Mus musculus: one gene and its partner. The protein of the gene in region 1 interacts with the protein of each later gene in a biochemical or structural test. Links are inferred from orthologs where the notes say so. Each region holds a gene or a part of one and is shown on either strand. Other genes may lie near its edges.

Region 1 (3,641 bases):
CATGGTAGCAGGCAGGTGTGGCATTGGAGCAGTAGCTGAGAGTTTACATCTTATCCTTAAGCATGAGGCAGGAGAGAGAGAGAGAACACTAACTAGGGATGTCATGGGCTTTTGAAACCTCCAAGCCTACCTCTTTGACAATACTACACCCCCTAGTTCTTTCTAAACAGTTCCACCAACTGGGGACCAAGTATTCAGATGTAGAAGGCGATGGGAGCCATTCTCATTCAAACCACCACAGCTGGGAACTAGAAATCCCCTTGTGAAGAGCAGTGTTTAAAAGCTCCTTCATCAGCTACTATTGTATGTTATCTTTCCTGTCTTCAGGTCCTGGACAATCACTACCTTTTACCTGAGTGCAGAAACAGCCTTAGCTCTCTCTCATATGCAGCAATGTACAAAAATACACACTCACAGGGCAAAAAACTACACCCTCCAATGTGCTTTTAATCTGGGCTGGCCAGATTAAAATTTTAATCTATTAATTAAAATTTTAATCTATTTTGACCACAGAACAGAGCAGGAGAAATAGGCCAGTTCTGAGCCTATGCTCAGAGCTCTGCTTCTCTTTTACCTAGAGCCTTGCCCAGATGTCATGAGTTGGGTTTTTGTCCTAGAAGAAAAGAGAATGAAGAGGTACCAGGTAATGGATAGTAGAAGAACACATGTATATGTCAGTAAACACCTGAGAGAAAACTCAGCGAGATAAGAAGACCTACCCAGCTGAGACATGTGCACATAAATGACTGCATTTGAAGCTGCTGCTGCCACTACTGCACACACAGGCGTGCACACAGAACATACTCTGTGAAGCGAATACCTTTTATTTCTACCCTGCCTCCTGTCTAAGGAAGGCCATATGGTAACTGTAACCCTAACCTTCCTGCGAGGGATCCAAGAGACCCTGTAATTCCACACTCTATGCATACTTGCTGCGTGGGCGCCACCCAGTTCTGGTTCTTGCTCTTGATGCTCTCTGGAGGGCTGAGGGCTGAGAGCCTGCTGGTTAGGAGAGGGTATCAAAGAGCCACCAGACATCCTCGCGACGGCCCCGGAGTTGGTCTGGAGGAGTTGCTCTGAATTCTGAAACAGAGGAAATGAGATAAAGCAGTTGCTTCTCCCAGGAGCTGACAAAGGGCAGCAGATATTTATAGGGTATCTCCTACAGGCCTCAGCTCCTCCTCTAGAGCCCAGGATCCTCAGAAACCTTCACATATAAGAGTGAAGTAGCTCTTCAATATTATACTTGCCAAATATAAGTCTTCAATCCTAGTACCTACTTGGTTTTGCTGTTGCTGTTTTGTTTTTGGATCAGATCTTATGTTCACCCTAGCCTTGAACTTACCAAGGGTGACTATGAACTTTGCATTCACCTGCTTCTCACCTCCTGAGTGTCAGGCTTAGAGGTATATGTCATCATGCCCAGTTTCTATGGTGCTGGATACTGAGCTCAGGGATATGTGTATGCCAGATCAGCACTGCACCAACTGAAAGCTACATCCCCAGCCTCTCGGGATGACTTCAAGTGCTTTAAAAAACATAAAAACAAAACAAAACAAAACAAAACAAAACAAAACAAAACAAAACAAAAAGCAGGCACTGCCCAAGTTTCCTCCCCATGTGTGTGTCTAGCTCTGTAACCACTGCCCTTTCTTCAGCAGTCTCTGCACAGACCCTATGGCTTCAGACCCATTGTCTAGGCCTAGGGTTTCTTCTATACCCCATGGCTAACTCACTTCATCTCAGTAGAACTAGTTATCTTCCAGATACCTGACTTTACAGTTGATAAGAGCTCTGTCACCACCCATCCATGACTTCCTGAGCCCTCATATCACCTCCCTCACATTCAAATCTGGTTTAACCTCCAGTTTTTTGTTTTTTTGTTTTTTTGTTTTTTTTTTTTTACCCAGCTCAACATGTCACATGACCACTGCAAAGACCTCAAAACCATGACCTCTTAGCTAGCTAAAGACAGAATGCTAAGGGGTCCACAGGTATGGCCAGCAGTTAGGTAGCCAGTTAGGTAACCCCAGCATTCTTAGCAGGAAAGATTTTCAGGAGGTAGGAAGGGGCTTCTGGAAGGCTGGGTGGGCAGAAGTGGGCAGACAGGCACACAAAAGCAGGCAGCTTAAAACAGACTGTGAGGACTTACCTCTACTGGGGACTCTGGTGGCTGGGTGTCCTGGACAGGCTTGGGGCAACTTGGTGTCTCTCGTAAGCCATGGTCAGGGATGTTGTGACCTGGCGCAAATGCAGAGGGTCCAGAAACCGCAGCAGGAAAGTCTGGTAACTGCAGTGGCTCTAGGGAGCGGAGTGAGGTCCCTAAGGTACAAAGATATAGTGATGTCCAGAAAGAATCAGAGGTACCTTGGTAATAGAAGAGGCCTGGATGCTTGGGGCATCTAGTCTCCCTTCAATAACTCCATGACCTGATGTGGGATGGATTCTGTACTGGCTAGTTTTGTGTCAACTTGACACAGGCTGGAGCTATCACAGAGAAAGGAGCTTCAGTTGAGGAAATGCCTCCACGAGATCCAGCTGTAAGGCATTCCCTCAATTAGTGATCAAGGGGGAAAGTCCCCTTGTAGGTGGTACCATCTCTGGGCTGGTAGTCTTGGTTCTATAAGAGAGCAGGCTGAGCAAGCCAGGGGAAGCAAGCCAGTAAGGAACATCCCTCCATGGCCTCTGCATCAGCTCCTGCTTTCTGACCTGCTTAATTTCCAGTCCTGACTTCCTTTGGTGATGAACAGCAGTATGGAAGTGTAAGCTGAATAAACCCTTTCCTCCCCAACTGCTTCTTGGTCATGATGTTTGTGCAGGAATAGAAACCCTGACTAAGAAAGATTCATTAGACATGATAAGCATCAATGGGGAGGGAATAGGAGGAAAAGAAGAGCTGGGAAAGACAAGAAAGGTGGCACCAAAGATGGGGGAGCAGGGCACAGGGCTCTCACCAGCCTGACTGTTATACTCACTTTCCTCCACTGTCCCAAGGCTTTCTCACAGCTGTCATCCCCAACCGACCCCTGCCACAGCCCATCTCTGACCCTACCATAGCCATTACTTATTTGAGAGAGCACTGCAGCATCCACAAATGAAGAGACCAACATGGGAAGAAGGGAGGAAAAGAGAAACAAAAGCAAACATGGTGTGTTCAAGATTGGCTTGGTTTTTCTTCCCAGATCTTCTCTTCAAGCTCTAATACTAAACCCCCTCTGGTCACATGACGTGGCAGTGACATTGAGAGGACTTAAGGGGCCACCAGGCAGTTGGGTGTTATCATTAGAACCTGGATGCTCTCAGAGCAACCTTGGGGCAGGGAATAGAAATGGAGAGTAGGGAAAGTGACTGGGTGTAGACTCTGTACTCTCTACGCTGTATAGATGGAGACAGAAGGAAACACCAGAGCCACAAACATGATGGCAGGTGCCTTGCGCTGGGCAAAGGGAAGATGTGGAACCCCAGCTAAGTGCAGCCACACATGAGGGATGTGGCCATTTGCCCCACTGTGACAGACTCAAAAAATAAGGAATATGGTCAAAGGACATATAGCTAGTGAGTGGCTCAGCTGGATCTAAATCCAGGTATATGCTACAATGGAGAGTGATGGAGACAGAAAGGCAGAAGGTCCAAGGGTGAAG
Region 2 (4,174 bases), on another chromosome or scaffold:
CAATAGCCAGATCTGAGGACCCCTCATCTTTGAGGGGCCCCAAGATCAGGCCATCAAATAACTTCGGTAGGTTTTCCTGGGGGAGGAGGAGGGTGTTAGCTGGTCAACAGCTTCAGCTGAGTCAGGAGGGCAGCCAACCGGTGGAGGAATGGAGGTCCCGGGAGAAGGGCTGGGGGGTGGGGGGCGGGGGGGAAGGCTGAGGCACGGGACGACTGCCTCTCACCTGGGAGTGAGGCAGGCTGCTTTTGCCATTGGTGTCAGGAGAGGCACCCAGATGTACGAAGTCCCGCGCCCCTGTCCAGAGTGGAAGTGAGCGTGTAGGTGGCAGAGACCCTCCTGATCCCAAGCTTTCTGTGACCCCCAGGCCAGCCTTGTCACACGCACCTGGAGTCACAAACTCATACACTTTATGAGGGTCATAAGGGTCCTTGCTATTGTCAGCAGCTAACCGCAACACTTCTTTCCGGTTCAGGGCTGACCGGAAATTCCTCTTCCAGGTTGACACGTCCGGCTTATCCTTCCCCGGGGTGTAGGCACCACTGGCTTCTGCCCAGGCCTGAAATATCAGGGATTCCACAACAAGACGACTTAGACTCTGGCCCGAGGCCCTGACACCTCCCACCACACACCATCCACTTCTGGTTCATGACAGAGCCCCCAGGACCTCCGTTCTCATACTTTCCCACTATTTCCACACTAAAGAAAAATCGTTTTGATTTTGAGGCAGGGTTTCACACATTATAACCAAAGGTGGGCTCCAAGCTGAGACCTCACCCTCCACCCTGCCCTGCCCTGCCCACGGTGCTGACAAACTCATGTCACCATGTCCACCTTCAAGGCTTTTTTTTTTTTAAGCCATCATTCTAGTTATCTACTTGGTACCTCACCCCAGGCCACCTCACATTCTTACTACCATGCTGCTCAGGAAGCAAATAACACCTCTTGAGGGCAGTCTCAACTCTTAAGGCTTAAGGGTTCTAAAATCAAGAGCCCACTCCTAAAGATTTCCCGCCCTCTAAAACAGCTGTTCTCAACTATCCTAATGCGGTTCCTCGTGTTGCAGTGATCCCCCAGCCCCAAAATTATTTGTATTGCTATTACATAACTGTAGTTTTGTTAGAAGTCAAAATACTTATTTTTCAATGAAACGGTCATTCAACCCCCAAAGGGGTCGCGTCCCAGGGACTGAGAACCATTGCTCCAGAACGTTTCTTAAGAAACGCAACCTAGGGCTGGTGAGATGGCTCAGTGGGTAAGAGCACCCGACTGCTCTTCCAAAGGTCCAGAGTTCAAATCCCAGCAACCACATGGTGGCTCACAACCATCCGTAACAAGATCTGACTCCCTCTTCTGGTGTGTCTGAAGACAGCTACAGTGTACTTACATAAAATAATAAATAAATCTTTAAAAAAAAAAAAAAAAAAAAAAAAAAAAAGAAACGCAACCTGGCTTTCAGGATTCTGTTCCTAGAATCTGCCAATCAATTCCCGTCTGTCCCTCCAGTCCTATCCCACCCCCTGCCCTGGTCCAGCCACACCCAGAAATGCGTCTGAAATCTTTCCCCCAGCACCTGGAAGATGCCAAAGTCAGCCATCTGTGCGTCCTGCCGTAGGCCATGCTTCCACGGGATCCTGAACCTCGTTCGGCTCTCGTCCAGCCAGGCCACGCCTTCCAGCTGCCCCAGGTCCAGCTGTGACACCAGCCAGGGCAAAATCCGCGGTTTCGGGGTTTCCATGCTCTAGCCTGCGCACCACAGGACAGTTCCTGAGCCTGTCTGTCACGGGGCAAATGCACTCAAACCTCTCCGACCCGCCACAACACAGGTCTTCCTTCACCATTGTGTACAAACGGGAAACTCCTTCCCACCTTTCCAAATCCAACGGGACCGCCTCTCCTACCCCCCAGAGTCTTCTATATGAACTCTACCCATAGGTTCCTTCCCTTTTCTAAATGTAAACTCCTATTATCCAAAGCTGGCACCCTATTTCAAGAGTGGAGTCCTCTTTCCCTCGTCTTTAAAGGATCCTAACTGCTCTCACAACCGCCTCACCCTTGCAGAAAACCCTTACTCATTTCCAGAGTCTTTTCCCAGGTGCTGTCGCTTCTTCTGTTTTTTTGTTTTTTGTTCCTATATTGTTTTTACGGATGTTTGAGACAGGGTCTTAGTATGTAGCATAGGCTGTCCTTGAACTTGCTATGTAGCCAAGGCTGGTCTTCAACTCACTCTGTGGCCCTGGCTGGCCTCGAATGCACTCTGTAACCCAGGCTACCCTCAAACTTATTCAGTAGCTCAGGCTGGTCTTCAAATCGCTTAACCCATGTTGGTCTGGCGCTCATTCTGTCGTCCAGCCTGGCCTGGAGCTCACTGGCCTTGAACTTACAGCAATCTTTACTGCCTCCAGCCTGGATGCTGAGACTGCAGGCTTCCGTCTACAACGCGTGGCCATTCTGCTTTTCGGTAGCCGAGCTTCTGAGCGACAGGTTTGCCCGATCCTGCGCCCTGAGGCCGCCACCCTCCCGGCTCTTCCGCGTTACCTACCAGGGGAGGAATTGGGCGCCCGTGCGGCGCGGGTGCCAGCAGTGGTTTTGGGGCTCCCAAACAGTAGTTCTGAGACTCGCAGCCACGCAACCCCCTTCTTTGTCAGCTAAGCCTCCGAGCGCTGGGACTTCCTTTTCTAACGATATTTTGAGATATAAAAAGTTTTTCTCAACATTGACGAAATAAAGTCAAGAAATCCCGGAGCGCACTTCGGCTTAGCAGGCCTAACTCCCTCAAATGCCCTTTTTTGGCCTTCCGCCTACAGGCATGCTGGGAACGCCATATGCAAATGACCGCAAAAGAAGGCTCCACCCCTTCGACGTTGGGGCGGTTGCCGTGTCGGCCCAGTGCGCAGGCGTGGGAAAGTTGAACTTCCGAAGTAAAAGTTTGTAGAAATTGTGAGAAAGCGTGTACGCCAGTGCGACGGGGACACAACCGCGAGCCAGGTGAGCTGGGTGCCAGGGAGGGGACAGGGTTGCAGGAAAGGCCACAGCCAGTCCTGCCAAGCTGTGACTTCCAAGCACCCGGGGTCTCCCGGTGCACGCCAGAGGTAAAATTGGAACTACATCTCCCAGCAGACTGCTCGGTGAAAAGTGGGGAAATCGGACCAGCGTTTGCCGCAAAGCATACTAGGATTAGTAGTTCCCTATTCTCTACGGTCTTCGAGCCTTCTTTGGCGCTGCTAGCTGAGAGGGAACTCCAAACCCCCTTCCCGCTCCTTCCTGCAAGAGTTCAAGCACTCATTTACCTCCTTTCTTAGACTCAGTAATTCAGACCGTTTCTCCTCAACTGAATCAACTGCCCCACTGGCCCTTAAAAACCACCTTTTCCTTGGAGTTAGGCGCCCTCTTCATTCAGTGATTCAGAAGTTTGAGTTATCCCTGCACTTGGGTGCATCCTCTGTCTTCTGCCTCAGGTACCCCCATGGCCGGCTCTGAAGAGTTGGGTCTCCGAGAGGACACACTGAAGGTTCTGACGGCCTTCCTTAAGCGCGGTGAAGTCGCTGGGTCCCCTGTCCCAACTCCACCCAGGTGAGTTCCACTCCCCCAGCGTCAGCCTTTGATGGGAAGATCTTCCTGAGTCTTGTGGTCCAAACCTATCTACTCCCATCAGACCTAACTCCATGTGCCTGGGCTGAGTTTCAAGAGTGATCTTCCATGAAAGGATGAAGGGATCACTTGCCCAGACCCCTTCGGGATAACTCCGAGGTTCTTGTCCCTAGGAGTCCTGCCCAAGAGGAGACAACAGATTTCCTGAGCCGCCTCCGAAGATGCCTCCCTTGTCCCCTGGGGAGAGGAGCTCCCCCCACGGAGTCCTCTAGGCCCCACTTCCTTCCCCTCCGCCCCTGCTATGGTTCCGAGCCTGGTAAGAGATTTATTCAGGTCACTTGTGAAACTTTCAGGGCTAGGAGTTTTGGTTCCAAAAAATCCAGACAGGACCCATTATAAAGTCAACACGGTTCAGCTTCAGCACAAGCCATAACCATTTCAAGTCTTTGTCACACCTCTTTCTAGCGGGTAAGTGTAAGTGTTTGTGCTTGGATAGGAGGTACCCTGGGGCTCCAAAGCCCGGGAAGCATGCAGCTCTGAAGGGAGAAGGGGTCCCAGTGCAAGGGATGCCTGAGACTGGGGGCCC

Evidence for each region.
Region 2: the proteins of Mavs (region 1) and Irf3 form a complex in vitro, tested with the Homo sapiens proteins (2 studies listed by BioGRID). The link is inferred for Mus musculus from reciprocal best matches to the Homo sapiens genes MAVS and IRF3.

The regions. Positions count from the first base shown.
Region 1 is NC_000068.7:131,240,561-131,244,201, reverse strand, and holds part of Mavs (mitochondrial antiviral-signaling protein), read right to left. Parts: intron 2,323-3,641; coding exon 2,153-2,322; intron 1,084-2,152; coding exon 930-1,083; intron 1-929.
Region 2 is NC_000073.6:44,996,274-45,000,447, reverse strand, and holds the start of Irf3 (interferon regulatory factor 3), read right to left. Parts: upstream 2,801-4,174; 5' UTR 2,540-2,800; exon of another isoform or gene 2,070-2,539; intron 1,775-2,069; exon of another isoform or gene 1,744-1,774; 5' UTR 1,736-1,743; coding exon 1,571-1,735; intron 557-1,570; coding exon 385-556; intron 295-384; coding exon 224-294; intron 77-223; coding exon 1-76. Other genes in the region: Bcl2l12 (bcl-2-like protein 12), read left to right, coding at 3,464-3,570, 3,762-3,904.